Xenopus tropicalis: one gene and its partners. The protein of the gene in region 4 purifies or fractionates together with the protein of the main gene of each other region. This does not show direct contact. Links are inferred from orthologs where the notes say so. Each region holds a gene or a part of one and is shown on either strand. Other genes may lie near its edges.

Region 1 (3,835 bases), on a different chromosome or scaffold from region 4:
TGGTCGTAAACAAAAGAAAAAAATTCCCACTGCCCAGCCAACATACACCCTATATGTAGGATAAATCAATTGTTTACGGAATCAGCACATCAGTGCCTCCTCAATGCTCTTTCTGTATCAAGCTTGTCTCCAGTACACAGCACATGCCTAGTGATGTCTTTGTGGGGTTTTAGTTGCACTTTAATTAGTTTACTTCCCAATAATTACTTTTTTTTTGTTAAATTTAGGTATTAATAGCTTACTAGCAATTGTTTCTTAAGGAGCTTCGGTTATATTTTCCCATGGTTTCAATGCAACAGCACCATCCAGTGGCCAAACTTTCATGCAACATAAAAAAATTATTAAACTTAAAATGCATGTGTGGCTATTCTGTGCCACAACTTAGGAGCAATGCATCTCCCAAATACATACACAAATTTATTTTTTGTATTTATTAATGTATAACTGAAAATGTAATTTATTCTTTTTGCAGAAACAAAGCCTACAAACAACATGGGGAATTCTTGATCCACCCCTGGGGAATACTCGACTACATGTGGTGAAACTGTTGGCTAGCATAATAAATGCAAACAATAAAGTGTTAAATCAAGAGCTGATTGAGCTGGACACACTGAACACCATGCTGGTAAGATACTTAATTATGTTGCACACAGGCAGAGTGGCGACAGCTATGCATTGCTTGGGTGTTACAGCCAATGGATGTTAAATACTTTTGTTTAATTTTTCCTATCGTGTCCATGACTGCTCCTGAATTTTCTTCAGTCTTCCCCTATGGATCTCATTTGATTACCTGCTACGTGGGTTGTGTTTCTTTTGCTTTACTGATTTTTTTTTTCTTCTAGGACCTTTATTTCAAATACATGTACAATAATTTCCTGCACGCACAAGTAGAGGTGTGCATCACCACAATTTTAAATTCGTCTCCTTTGGAAGAAACCATTGAAGATGAGGCACAAGGCCACCCTCTTGTCAGATATGTAAGTTGAAATTTTTTTTTTGTTTTTACAATTGAGGGAAAAGTAAAGTTAAAATTATAGTTTTAGATACAAAAGATGACTGATTTAAGTAAACTTGGTACACCTGTTATTGTCTGGGCACTTTTTATTTTACCTTTCTAGTAAAAACATTACAAAATAAAATCCTGATCCAAAAAAGAAAATAATACCTTACTTAACAGTTCAACTATAAAGTGCACACTTGCCCAGACTTTACCATTGTGGGGTTGTCTTTTATTTAAATCTGCCAACATAACATGTTATATAATCATGAAAAAACTTCATCACATTAAACTGAAATGCCTGGCTGCTGTGATCCTAGTCTAAAAATCTACTGTTATATCCCAGTCTATCTATCAGGCACCATTGCTTTACTGAACTGACTATAGTTAAAATGTCTGTGTGGAAATTCTGTACCTCAGTGCTGGAAGTAAAGGCATCTGACATACTCTTTCTTTTAATCAGCTTCTGCAAAAATGCCGCCTCGTTCAGAGAATTTTATCAGCGTGGGAAGAAAACGAGAAAGAACAGTAAGGACTACAGAAATTACATTCTCAAAGAGATTATATATATATATATATACGTAGAATTCATGTGTATATATAAAGCTGGACATACACGCACCGATAATATCTTCGTACAATATTCGGTGCGCGTATCATCGCAGGAGGCGATCGGGCAGGTTAGAAGATTTTGTTCGGCCGCCATTAAAGGTGCCTGAGCAAAATCTGCCTTCAGGGCTGAATCGCCAGAAGGAGGTAGAAATCCTATTGTTTCCTGACGATTCAGTCCTGAACATCAGTGGAGGGTTGGAATGATCTTTCAATCGAAAAAATTGCCACGTGTGTGGCCAGCTACACACACGGGTTGTTTTTTTTTTGTTTTTTTTTTAACTGATTAATAATTCATCATTGCATTCTACAACACATCCTCCTTAGATGTTCTTCAGAATGTCTATGCATCAGAATGCACAATGTGTAGACACTAAAATTTGTCTTTTTTTTTTCTTTAGATCAGAAGGAGGGCGACGCAAAGGGTTCATGGGCCATCTGACAAAAATTGCAAATTCAGTTGTTCAGAGTTCTGAAAAAGGACCAAATGTATCTCTAGTTGGACAGCTGATAAAAGGTGAGGATAAGTAGCCTCCACATTCTGTTTGCCTGACTGATTTGTGCATTTTTATTTTTGAAATTTTTTACATTTTCACTTCCAAATGTTAGTGTTTTGCAATGAAGTCACCCAAGCACAAGATGGGGCACCTTTTAACACATTCTCTGTCATTTTCTCTCCTTCATTCGCAAACTCTGCTAAGTCATTTTCATAAATTGTTCTGCCTTAAAGGGTATTACTGTACATAACTACATTGGCAGGAGTTTGCAGGGTTAATTAAAGGGTAGTTACGTACTTTGAAAGGAACAATGGCTCTTTAGTGCCAGACAAAAAAAAATTGGCAACCTCCCTCCTAGTCCAAGATCAAGGGAATCATGCTATGGGTTTCAGATTAATTTCGGTGAGGGGTTTGACCAGTAATCCCCTCTGTGTTCCTTTTGCCTTTGCAAAAATTATCTGCACACTTTTAGAAGGTGTGTGGATTCAATTGTGCTAAATAATGTGTTTTCACACAAATTTCACTGTGCATACCACAATTGGTGTGTGTGTTGGCCAGTGTGTCTCATAGTAAACCTGTATGTGAATAAAGTATAGATGACCAAGCGCAGACCATGTATTGTGATGTGAGAGTCTATAGCAAAATGTTCTGCCAAAAGTTCTTTCTGCCAATCTCTCCAGCCAATATTTCTGGTTTCTCAGTGTAATCAGCTGAAAGAACCATGCAGCCTTTGCATTTTGCGGGGAAATGAGAAAATCATACATGACCATTTATAGGGGCAGAACATTGGGAAGAATGTAATGCACTATTTCCTGATTGTTACTGTTATTTCCATACCTTCTGACAGATCTAACTGATGAAGAACAGGAATGTTGGGACGGTTTTGTATCTGGATCTCTTACAGATACAAATAAGAAGAATACCATTGACCTCGTAAGATTTTTTTAAAATCTGAATTTATTCTCCAGTAAAAAAAAAATCTGCAGTGAATTTTATAGCAGAGCTAGCTTCAGCACAGTAGTGCTGCCTGATTCTCTAGTTGTGATTGGGTCCAGTATTAAGGGCAGGGTTGTGTTTCTGTATAATCAAGTGGGGTCCTCTGCTTTGCTGTTCACACCTGCACAGACCATCTGGCAAATGCCCCAGTTATTGAGAGACGGGGGAGGGCTGTGGTCCAGAATCTCTAGGATGCACACCCCTTTTTTTGAAAGTTAGGTAAAATTTTAATTCATCCTGCTAACTATTGTTTATCCTAAAGTATTCTAAAAGAGCCACTTACCTACAGAATAATGTGTGATGTAATGGTTAATTACATAATAGGCAATGTGCTGTGATCCTTCTCCTTTAAAAATTGTGTGTTTTACTTCAGAAGCTGTAAAACAATTTATGGGCAATGACACAGGCCTGCCATGACCTATACTGTGTGGTAAAATGGACATATATGCCCCCAACATGAAACATGCTGTTTGCAAATGTAAATGTCACTGACATTTACTGGCTGCTGGTAAAAGCTGTTATTTGTTTTAGGAAAATGTGATGTTGTTAGTGCATGCTCCAGGTCGGCTATCACAAAGAAGCCAACCTGAAGCGGTGTAGGTTGGTATCCATCAACCTGGCTGCAACACTTTGCTTTGTACAACCAGGTACATCAAATAGGACTGTTTAGGGTGTACAGTGGTGTGATTAGTGGGGGGAGCAAGGCAATTTGGATGGGGCCCAAGTTTAATAAACA
Region 2 (3,835 bases), on a different chromosome or scaffold from region 4:
GCTGATGGTGTTGAGAAGACTTTTTTATTGAATTACATTGACTGTTGGATGTAGATGCTGGAACAAAACACACCATCTGACTTTATCTGATCCAACTTGTTTTACAGTTGTGGGGATCAGATTTTGTAGGATCCTACATACTGTAATCTCATGCTGTTATATGACAACATTTTGTGACCCACAGAATCTTATCAAAATCTCCCATGTAGTTTAGCGCTTTGCCTCCAAAAATAGAATTTTATACTGAATGCCTACTTTGACGCAACATGTTGTTCACGAGCTGCTAGTTGTGGATTAACGCCTTGTGCTAATTGTTTAGATAACATGCCACTAATGTGTAAATCTTGATAAATGTGTGAAATTGGTTTAAATTAAGCTGGCCTTTACATCCGCACCCCAATTGAGTGGATATGATATCAGGCTGATTTGAAAATTTAGTCCTTGGGTTTTCTTAAACCTTCCCGATCGACATCTGACTGATTTTATAGCATAATGTAGTGGTTTGGTCTGTGGCCAATCAGATTTGGTCCTAGCCCAGTGTATGTGTTTGGCCTTTGCCATGGATGTATTTTTGTAAATGAGTTTATCTAAAAAAAAAGTTTCTTTAAAGGGAACAAAAAATATGCAACATTTCCATTTTCTGAAAGAACTTTAAGCTTCCTTCCTAATGATGATGCTCATACCTATTAAACCTTTCACAGAGGACTATAGTCCTGGAGCTTCCACTTGCCATATCATACATGGAGCTAGATATTGTAGGCAGGCCAAAAAAGCTACCTGTATTTCTGTGTGGTAATCCTATATGTGGCCAGATGTCATTGTTTGGGTCGAATTAGAGGATGCCAATTTGTATAGTTTTCTGATTTCTGGTTTAGCCGTTACATTTGTTCTGTGGTCAAAAGAAAATCTTTAATATTTGTTTCACTTTTTTATTCTCTTTTAAAGCGACTATGTGATTATGTGTGTGATCTGCTACTGGAGGAATCAAATGTTCAGCCGGTATCTACACCCGTAACAGTTTGTGGAGATATACATGGACAGGTAAGTCACTTTCCATAAATCTGCTGTCAGACATAGGGTATCAAAAAAGTAAAGATTTTATTGCAGTTTCAAGATACATGAAAAACTGGGGTGGGTTATGCCAGTATTTTAGGCCACCGCCCAGTGAACAATTGCTTATGTCTTACCCTTTGCCGGTGCAACTTTTCAATATAAAATGCTCTTGCCTTGGCTAGTTTTTCAAAAGGGTGGCCTGCTGTTTCTCCTACTTTTCCAGGCATCACCCTGACCCTCTTTAGACTTGGAGAACCTTTAACCAGCTGTTCTGTACCTTGCATAAGGAAATGACCGTGACACAGGGGGTGCCTGGGAAGATAATGGTGGCTAGCCTGCTTAACTGAAAGCTACTTCAGGCCTATGCATTTTTTAAGAAAGAGAACACTGGGCCAAGTTTACAAGAGTTACTGGGAGATATCTATTAAATTAGAATAGTATAACAAATTAGCTAGCACAACATTCATGTTTTAGTTATCTCCAGATGAGGCTTATGTTTTGCAGTTTGGAGGATTGATTAAACAACATTTTTTATGTCATCTCATTAATAACTATTGTCAGGTTGTTCTAGTCTTTACTGATAAACATATACTGCCTTCTTTGTTATCATTGACCCCAATGTTGCTCTTGGATTAATCAGTTCCTAAGACATATAGTAGAATCCTGGTTTTAACTGTTCTGTGTCTGGCAAAGAAAAGGATTTTATTACATTGGTTGAGCCCAAATTACTCTGTCCCGTTTGTCTGATTGATAAGACCACGCCATTGATCATGTTGCTACATCTAGCAAGAGGTTTGCCTTTACAAGATCCAACAAAATATGGGACGCATGAGTGGAAGCTAGTTCTCTGCCCATGCATGGGACCTTCCCAAAAGACTCCACAATAGATATCTTCCCTATTTTTAAATCCCATGAGGCAAGGGTCAAATCAGCTTGTTGGTGCGGTCTTCCCCCGACAGGCCTGCATTGATTTGGCCCTGTATGTAGGTTGTTAAATTGGACAAAGATCCACTCATGACCTCCTCAAACAAGTGAATCTTTTGCGTATAAGGGCTGTGACACACGGTGAGATTATTCGCTGGGCGACTAATCTCCCCGAAATGCCATTCCACTGGTTAGAATGTAAATCGCCGGTGGGATGGCATATGCAGCGCTGCAATTTGCAGAAGTTTCCTCTTAAGGCAACTTCCGTGACTTCTGCAAATGGTGGCGCCGCCAGCGCTCTCCATTTTGGGGAGATTAGTCGCCCGCAACAAGGGAGATTTGTCGCGGTGACTAATCTCCCCGTGTGTCACAGCCCTGAGCGAAAGCTTTAAGAGATACGTACTTACAGCACCTGTTTGGAACCTTTACCTTTTGGTACATATACTTAATCATTAATGACATCTTTATGTAAGGGGAAAGGGGATGTTTTTGGGTGGGATGAATCTGTTTAGTAAACTAAAACTGCCATTTAAAAAAAAAAAAAAAAAAACCTTGTTACACTTGCTGAAAGCACTTTTTTTTTTGCTTGTTTTCTAGTTTTATGATCTGTGTGAGCTCTTTAGAACTGGCGGCCAAGTTCCTGACACAAATTACATCTTCATGGTGAGTGCAGGTTGAAGGGAGTTGTACTTGATTTGGTTTTTTTTTTTTAAAAAAGAAAGCATCTCAGTCATAAACTCAAAGGCTGACTAACACAAACAATGTTTTGTTTTTTTGCCAATTTAAACACATTCCACTTGTGTCTCTAAGTGGGAGACCTAGCTAGCATGTTCAACAAATCTGTCATATTTATCTTAGTGGGCACATTGAATTTGTTTTGCCAATAATTTTTTACCTGCCTTGTCCATTGCATTATGTACTACCGTGATGGCTTCATGTCAAACTGTTCCCCCAGAATGTACAGTCTCTTAACAAGTCGGTGAAGCCCCATTTGCAATAAAATGCCTGTTTAGTAGAAATAAACTGTTAAAAAAAATGATATACAGCATCTGTATTTATTATCTGCTTTTTTCCCTTTTCTTTTCATTTTGTAGGGTGACTTTGTAGATAGAGGGTATTACAGTTTAGAGACATTCACCTACCTGCTTGCCCTGAAAGCCAAGTGGCCTGACCGTATTACCTTGCTGCGAGGGAACCATGAAAGCAGGCAGATCACACAGGTGTATGGATTCTATGGTGAGCACTACTGTCCAAAACCATAAAACCAAGTAGGAAAAAAGCTTCTTAATCATTATTTTCCTGGCAGACAATTTGCTAAATGCTTTTCCTTATAACTTCCTGGTTTGCCTTGTCAAATGACATAAACACAGAGTAACACTTGTGCTATGATGGAAGTCATTTGCACTGCTGCTGTGACAAAGGCACTTGTTCTATGGCTGGTCTTCTGTTGTGCAATATTATTACTTTGAGACTGATTATATGTGTGTGTGTGTGTCTCCTGTTGTAAAATATAAGGGTAGTGACTTATTAAGTCACTGTAGTTTTCCATGTCCAAATGATTTTCTACAGATCATGAAACTTTGAGGTGACTTCTGCAATATGTGGTACTGCTACCTCCTAGTGGTGATTCTATGGCATTACTATTTTGTGTTTCTTGTACATAGTAACATAATAAGTTGGGTTGAAAAAAGACAAACGTCCATCATGTTCAACCATAATGCCTATATATAACCTGCCTAACTTCTAGTTGATCCAGAGGAAGGCAAAAAACCCCATCTGAAGCCTCTCTAATTTGCCGCAGAGGGGAAAAAAATCCTTCCTGACTCCAATATGGCAATCGGACCAGTCCCTGGATCAA
Region 3 (3,835 bases), on a different chromosome or scaffold from region 4:
TTATATCAGTCTCTTTTCTACAGTGTAGATCCCCTGCTGAATTCATTGACACAGGGCTATGATAGAACTCCTACTGTTAGCAACTGTATACTTCAAGTGATAGAGCCACGTCTAAAAGATTTTCACGATCTGCTTCAGCATCCTCCTAAGGTACAACCTGCTTTTGTACATATAGGTAGTCACAAGGTATTGCAGTTATGTGTGTTTATAAAATGCCAAATGAGACAGTAGTTTTTAAACTCTATTATGACTTTATCAATGTCTGCTTGTACATTTGCCCATATAGGCTTCTGTAAAAGGTTGAATTTGATGGATGTGTTACTATGACATTTCTACAAGTTAAAAGCCCTTTGGTTAGCTTTTCATTGATATAACCCTGAGTTGTGTTTTTTTTTTTTTTTTTTTACTATTCATGTTTAGTATGTCTATGAAGATTTTCATTCATCCAGGTCACGGTATATCTAGTATAAATAAATTTAAAGCAACTGGACTTGTTTGGTAATCATTGAAGACGTTTCACTACTCATCCGAGCAGCTTCTTCAGTTCTACTGAAGAAGCTGCTCGGATGAGTAGTGAAACGTCTTCAATGATTACCAACAAGTCCAGTTGCTTTAAATTTATTTATACTAGATATTCATGTTCAGGTTACTGTACTGATTCAGGGATTAATTTTTAAGCTTCTTATGAACTTCAGAAAGTCAGTCTTGCATTTCTAGCACCAAACCCAGCCTGTATGCTCTGTGGAACAGCAATTACTGTTTGATGTCTTTGTGTAAGTTAAAAGTATTTTAAATTGGTCAGGTTTATCCCATTAAAGTTTTGCACATTTATTTCTTTTGTGTTATTTTATAAAAGTGTAAGTTTCAGTGTAGATTGTAAGCTTTGCTTTAGTGTTGCGACTAATTTTCTTTTAAAGGGTCCCATCTCAAAAATTTTCTTTCTCCTGCTGAAGCTGTGAGCTAACACAGCCTGCATTCCAGATGAAGAAGAGTGTATTTTTTTTTTTTTTTTTTAAATAGGACCTCTTTGAACACAGTACCCCTATGTGGGTGGCCATACTTTGGTACCTGCAATACTACAGCTTGCTTAAAATGCACATGTGCATGATTATGTAATAAGCATGTGCTTATTGAGCAATCCTTGGTACTAGTTGTTAAGCACGTGGAGGAGATATTAGATCTCCTCTACCACGGGCAACTAATCTCCTGCATACGTACACGCCACTTCGGCTTTGCTAAGTAGCCTGAAGTTGCCTCTCGAGTAGCTTATGTTTCCACTCTGGCAATAATGAGAATTGCCGGCAGGGAAACAGGAGAGCTATCGTGGGTGACTAATCTCCCGCATATATCTTGGGTGAATAATCTGCTGCATATGTTTCCATATTGGCAATAATGGGAATTGCCAGATGGGAAACATGCTGCAAAGTTACATAACCCTGTTAGAAGAAGGAAATACATTTTGCATTTCATTTGATGCCAATTTTTAACAGTATATGGTTGAAATTACTGCACTGTTATCATGGAAAAATAGGTATGTGGTAAACAAAGGCATGTGTTTTCAAGGGTTTTATGTTAAACCAATAACCAGTGGACAGCTTCTGCAAGTTTAAAAACAAGGTAAGGAATTTTCCATGCGACTAATGGGTTTGTGATATTATCTCTTTCAATTTTAATGCAGAAAGAATCAATTTTGACCACAATTGGGGTACTGGAGGAGCCATTAGGAAATGCCCGTCTCCACACTACACGCCTTATTGCCGCATTGCTTCACACTAACACTCCCAGTATTAACCAGGAGCTTTGTCGGCTAGGTACCATGGATCTCTTACTTGTAAGTAAATCTAGCAAAGGCACTAAGCACTTCAAATTCAGTGCTTCTCCTGGCATAGGGAAATTTGCTAGAAAGAAACTAGTAAAAATGTGTTGCATTAATAACAAATATGGAATTTTCTGGCATTAACAACAAGAGCTAAAAGAATCATTTAAAAACAGATATTTTATTATTTGTAAGAAGATGGTGCTTCTGTAGCTAATATGTTATACCTTTCTCTCCCACAGGATCTTTTCTTTAGATACACATGGAATAACTTCATGCACTTACAGGTTGAGCTGTGTATAGCAGCTGTTCTCTCTAACTCCAGGCAAGAAGGGAAGTATCTGGCAGTTTCTGAAGAAAGACAGGAGGAGGAGGAAACACTTAATGGAAATGCAGAAAACATGGAGAACTGCCAGATCTGTTCCTCTGAGCATGAAGATCTAATGATCACACATGTGAGTTAGGATTTTTATTAAATGTATAATTTTTTAGGTGTGTTTTGCGTATGGTGATCCCCTTTTGTTGCCATTACTTAGAGCTTCTGACTCTGCGTGTATGTGCGAAAGACAAATTATAATTTTTATTGCCTGCCTTGTTTTCAAGGCTTACGTACCGCAAAAATATCTTCCAATGTTGCAAAGACTATGTCAGTTTTGTTAAAAGTGGTTCATCTTTAAGCTAACTTTTAGTTTGTTATAGAATGACTGTCATCATTTATTTGTTAGAGTTTTTCAATTATTTGCCTTCTTCTTACAAAAAATTATTGCTCTGCGAGGCTACCGTTGTATTGTTATTGTTACTTTTTGTAACTTTCTTTTGTATTCAGGCCGTCTCCTATTCATATAACAATCACTCATCCAAACCACTCCCTGGTTGCTAAGGTAACTTGAACCCTACATATAGAACAAACATTATAGGATTATGCTCATAAGTTTTAAGTATATTTAGTATCTCACCGATAGTATAGATGGGCCTGGGTGCTCATGCCCCAGACCTTCAGCTTGAGGGGACCATTTAGGAAATCCAAAAATTGAAAATGGCAGGCACTCCAGGACTTGAAGAAAAAGGTATCAGGCAGTAGACTCCAAAAATTGAAATAAAATCATAAAGTTTATTATATTAACACTTAATGCTACATGGCCTTACGCGTTTCGTACCGTATGGTACTTAATCATAGGCCTACTGCTGAAACTCCAAACTGAAGAGCTCCTGAAAATACACATTAACATCATGATAGTATTCCTTTAGCTCAAAGTTGAACAACCCCTTTAAATGATGTATTAAAAATACTTTAACCAACTTTATGATCTCTGTTGGAGATATACTTTGCAATTTAATAGCAGTGTGGCTTCTAACAAAATAAAATATCATATGTTCTGTCTAAAAAAAGATTGTTGCTGCACTTGTACAATAGATGAAATATATACGGTTGTCTTGATTCCTCTTTGCTATGTCATGTAATTTTCAAGATGGATAACTACTGAACATACAACGTATTAACCTTTTATAAATCAGATAAGTATGGTTCATTTAAGTCCTGATTTAAAATAAAACATTTTTTTTTCTCTGAGGGCTGGCTTTATTTGCAGCTTACTTATTTGTTCTTGAACCCTCTGTTCCCCTGCTCTCCAGGTACCCGTTGTAAAAGCACTATTTGGCCCCAGTAGTTAACCACTCCAGCACCAGTTGGGTAGAGATGGGTGGGCCTCATTTTAAAAGGGCCCTAACTATTGAAATCACAATCTCCACCTTTTTTTTCTTTTTCCCTTTTTTGAAACTTGACTGTCTATGCCAGTTTATAAATTAACACATCAGTGACGAGGTAAGTGGGGTGACCTTGTAGATTCCCACCGTAGGCAGGTCCACACTGGGGTGTCCGGGGACCACCAGGACAGCCTCCTGGGGGCTCCTGACCCCCCCCCCCCCTTCCCCACTAAGTTCCACGCTTTTTCCTTGTGGCTGTGATGGGGGGGAAGATGCACCTGCAGTTAGCAGAGGGAGTGGCTGGATGTCACGGGC
Region 4 (3,835 bases):
TAGCTCTTATCTGGCACCCCCGAACATTTTTTTGTGGTGTTTCCAAAAAACCTTCCATTTGAATTTGGTTCATGTGTATAAAAGGTTTGGGACCCCTGCTCTAGTTTAAAGCTCCTGTCCACAGTAACAGGACACTTGATCAAAATGGAAATAAACAGAGTTCCACTGGCTCTGCTTTCTGGCTTTACCCAACTGGTATTTGTTTTCTTCTTGCAGAATTAACAGCCAAGATGGTACGGCTGACCTACTGGTAGAAGCTTTGGGTGCCAAGATTGTGAATAGCAGAGATGCCAAAGGGAGGTTAGTTTCTTTTTTTCTGGTTTCTGTTAATGCTGTAATACATGTGAAGATAAGCTCTTAACTAATACATATTAGGGCCCAATATACTTTTTTTTTTTAATTTGTTGTTTTTGTTTAATGTAAACACCCATTTATTGTACAATGCTGCTGAATATGTTGGCATTTTATATATTTTAAAGGGAAATTTTCTTCACTTATAGCAGAGGTTCCCAGGCAGTCTAACAGCAGCACATAATGTAATTTTTTTTTTTTTTTTTTGACGCAGGACTCCTCTTCATGCTGCAGCATTTGCTGACAATGTGAACGGTTTACAACTACTCTTGCACCACCAGGCTGAGGTCAATGCCACAGACCTCTCTGGTCGGACACCTCTGATGATGTCAGCAGAAAATGGAAGGACTGCAGCAGTTGGTAATTGTACTTCTTGTGTTATATATAGGTCCTCAGTGTTTTGAGATAAAAAAAAAAAAAAAAATAAATAAATATATATATTTTTTTCCCTGAGGAAGAGCACAGTTGGTGCTCGAAACGTTGGATCGTTTTCATTAAAGAAATTTTTTGTTTTCTAAAAAAGTCCCTGCGTGTGCGGCTCATTGTCTTGCTATATATATATATATATATATATATATATATATATATATATATATATATATATATATATATATATATATATATATATATACACTTTAATATGTTCATCCTTTTTACTTGATTAAAACATCATGTCATTCTCTATCCATTCATGTTGTAGAGTTCCTGCTGTTTCACATGAAGGCGGATTTAACTGTGATGGATATCAACAAGAACACTGCGCTTCACCTAGCCTGCAGCAAGGTAATTATGCTTATCTAGTTGCGTATGGGGTACTTTCTCCCTGTCGAGGTACTAGTATATTAAATATCACTGTTCAATATTATAACTTAAATGACAGCTTTCAGAAGTAACAGCAGCATTGACTTTCTTGTTTTTCAAGAAAGTCAATGCCTTTTGTTTTTGCAGTAAGCAAAAACAAAAGGTGTTGCCCCTGTGGAAAGACTGACTTTTTCATCTTACAGCACTTGTGTTTTTTATATTTAAATTTTTCCTACAGAACTTAGAGTAACCTTTAGACTGTGAGTATGTATCTACCTGCCTAACCTCATTCTGTAATACCTGTATGAGCATTAATAAGTTGGGCATCCCTTTGCTGCTATAATAGTGTTTACTCTTCTTGGTGGTTCTGTTCAATCACAACAGCATTAGTGAGATATACAGTTGAGTTTAGTGTCCTGTGCAATTTTCTCAGCTTCTTTCCCTACCATTTGAACAAATTCAAAACAGACCTGTCTTTGTGCATAGGATCATCATCAAGCAGGAAAGCACCTTTCTGAAGCTACTGTGAAAAAATAGATGTTAGTGGACTTTTAATAGAATGATTTCCAGTTACTACTCTCACTTGCTAACTAAACTTAAGTGTCAATGTAACCCCTTTTTTAGTAAAATGGCTAAATGAATAAGGCTTGTTCTGACATGCATTTTGACTATTCTTTTCAGTTCGGATATTAGGGCAGACTTTTAAACTATATAAAAAGGTTCTTTTGTAGTATCCTTATTTACAATATCTTTATTTCTAGGGACATGAAAAGTGTGCTTTGCTGCTTCTAGGGGAGACCCGGGACCTTGGCCTTATCAATGCAACAAACAGCATGCTGCAGATGTGAGTTGTGTTAATGAATGATGCAGGTTTTTTTTCCCTGTTTTTTTCTTATTTTCCAATTAGTTTTCTTGGTTGATCTGTTATATTTTATAATGTAATGCAAAGCCTTTAAGATTATGAAGTGAGTTTCTTGGAGGAGGGACCCACAGGAACAATATGTATAATCTAGCATGTTCCCCTAAAATTCTGTTTAGTTAGTAAAACAAACTGTTTCCTGTGCCTTCATGTACAGGTATGTGATATGTTCATGTTTAAATATTGCAATAAATAACCTTATGTTATCTTATTAAAAAAACATTTTGCCATAACTAAATGCAAAAGCCACAGTAATAAGATTGAAGTACAAAAATGCAAGCTGGTTTTGCAGCCATTTAAGATCTCTGAGTAGATTTATGCTGTGATGTAATCAATGATTTTGACAATTTAAATTGTAAAATTGTACGCTCCTGATATTTATTTTTCTGATCCTTTCCCAGGCCTCTTCACATTGCTGCTCGCAATGGGCTGGCATCGGTCGTCCAAGCTTTGCTTACAAGAGGGGCCACTGTGTTGGCTGTGGATGAAGAAGGTGAGACCATTACACGTTTTCTTATTCCCTTGTTTAATAAGACAAGTGTTTCTTGCCATGTTTTCACCCATGCAGGAGCAACAGCATTCCTACTCATGGCTGCTCTTCAGGGGTAGATGCTTTTTAGAAATTATGAGCCCTACTCATTATTAGCAGACACAGCATATTTAGCTGCAAGCCCTAATATTTAACAAACAAGTTTTAAGCAGAAATGTATTTCAGACTGTAATAACTCTGTCAAGGAAACGGGGCTGAAAGTCTACTGCAGAGTATCAAACATACATTAAGCGATGTGGTTTTAAATGGCAGAATCATTTTTATTATTAGCTGATTCAGTCCCCTACATTTCTATTTAGTCTGAATTTCCAGAAGAAACTGGTGTTTTACATAGGCAAATTTTTAAGTTTTTCTTATTTAAGTTGATATCCTTCTTCTAGATCATCATACCCATATAATTCATATAAAAAAAATTCCAATTGAGCTGTAGTGTGTGCAAGGTTTAACCAATTTATCTGAATGCAGTCTTGGGCAGTTTAATATTTCAGCTAGCCAAACTATCTGGCATAATGAAGGGAGTTCTGTTGTCTGACCCATAAAATTGCATTAACCCCTTTCACATTACAGTTGTGCATATGTTGATACAAACCCGCACAACTAGTTGTTAATGGATGTTTGAGGATGGTTTGCCAGTAGTGTATGCATATATTATTCCAGAAGCAGTTTCCTCTAAGTACTTGGCACAATTTTATTTTCTGTACTGCGCAACAGTCCCTCCCTGTATTAAATCATTGGTACATTTCGCCGCTACTTTAATAGAAACTTCATTAGAATTGTCTAATAAATTTTACTTCTTGCATTTATCTTTTTCACTTGACAGCAGGTCACACCCCAGCCTTGGCCTGTGCACCGAACAAGGACGTAGCGGACTGCTTGGCACTTATCCTATCCACCATGAAGCCTTTCCCACCAAAAGACGCCATCCTTCCCTTCAGTTTCAACCTTCTGAAAAACTGCAGCATCGCTGCCAAGACTGCCCTCCCTAATGGTGGCAGCTGCCCCTACACAAAGGATCGTCATGGTTCTATTGCCATGGATGGCTGCTACTCTGAGTAGCTTCTTTTGCCCTCTGGGTGATGCATCCTTACATTTAATTTATTTAGGATAATTTTAGGGCACTTTTTTAAAGGAGAATAAGACACAACATACAGTGGTGTTGAGCTGCTTACTAGGCTTTCCTCCCATTAACCTGCTCTCTTGAGCTGCCCTGGCTT

Evidence for each region. Proteins that work in one complex are often made in the same cells at the same time.
Region 1: the proteins of ankrd52 (region 4) and ppp6r1 purify together in Homo sapiens (co-immunoprecipitation; 3 studies listed by BioGRID and IntAct, with this or other methods). This does not show direct contact. The link is inferred for Xenopus tropicalis from reciprocal best matches to the Homo sapiens genes ANKRD52 and PPP6R1.
Region 2: the proteins of ankrd52 (region 4) and ppp6c purify together in Homo sapiens (affinity purification with mass spectrometry; 6 studies listed by BioGRID and IntAct, with this or other methods). This does not show direct contact. The link is inferred for Xenopus tropicalis from reciprocal best matches to the Homo sapiens genes ANKRD52 and PPP6C.
Region 3: the proteins of ankrd52 (region 4) and ppp6r2 purify together in Homo sapiens (affinity purification with mass spectrometry; 3 studies listed by BioGRID and IntAct, counting the BioPlex papers as one, with this or other methods). This does not show direct contact. The link is inferred for Xenopus tropicalis from reciprocal best matches to the Homo sapiens genes ANKRD52 and PPP6R2.

Annotation. Positions count from the first base shown.
Region 1 is NC_030683.2:114,083,850-114,087,684, forward strand, and holds part of ppp6r1 (serine/threonine-protein phosphatase 6 regulatory subunit 1), read left to right. Parts: intron 1-472; coding exon 473-625; intron 626-842; coding exon 843-977; intron 978-1,460; coding exon 1,461-1,525; intron 1,526-2,007; coding exon 2,008-2,123; intron 2,124-2,950; coding exon 2,951-3,036; intron 3,037-3,835. UniProt on the Homo sapiens protein: Regulatory subunit of protein phosphatase 6 (PP6). May function as a scaffolding PP6 subunit. Involved in the PP6-mediated dephosphorylation of NFKBIE opposing its degradation in response to TNF-alpha.
Region 2 is NC_030684.2:28,169,711-28,173,545, reverse strand, and holds part of ppp6c (serine/threonine-protein phosphatase 6 catalytic subunit), read left to right. Parts: intron 1-945; coding exon 946-1,041; intron 1,042-2,574; coding exon 2,575-2,640; intron 2,641-3,071; coding exon 3,072-3,213; intron 3,214-3,835.
Region 3 is NC_030679.2:89,213,146-89,216,980, forward strand, and holds part of ppp6r2 (serine/threonine-protein phosphatase 6 regulatory subunit 2), read left to right. Parts: intron 1-23; coding exon 24-150; intron 151-1,678; coding exon 1,679-1,831; intron 1,832-2,058; coding exon 2,059-2,271; intron 2,272-3,835. UniProt on the Homo sapiens protein: Regulatory subunit of protein phosphatase 6 (PP6). May function as a scaffolding PP6 subunit. Involved in the PP6-mediated dephosphorylation of NFKBIE opposing its degradation in response to TNF-alpha.
Region 4 is NC_030678.2:137,394,193-137,398,027, forward strand, and holds part of ankrd52 (serine/threonine-protein phosphatase 6 regulatory ankyrin repeat subunit C), read left to right. Parts: intron 1-216; coding exon 217-300; intron 301-565; coding exon 566-711; intron 712-1,051; coding exon 1,052-1,134; intron 1,135-1,913; coding exon 1,914-1,996; intron 1,997-2,472; coding exon 2,473-2,564; intron 2,565-3,441; coding exon 3,442-3,677; 3' UTR 3,678-3,835. UniProt on the Homo sapiens protein: Putative regulatory subunit of protein phosphatase 6 (PP6) that may be involved in the recognition of phosphoprotein substrates.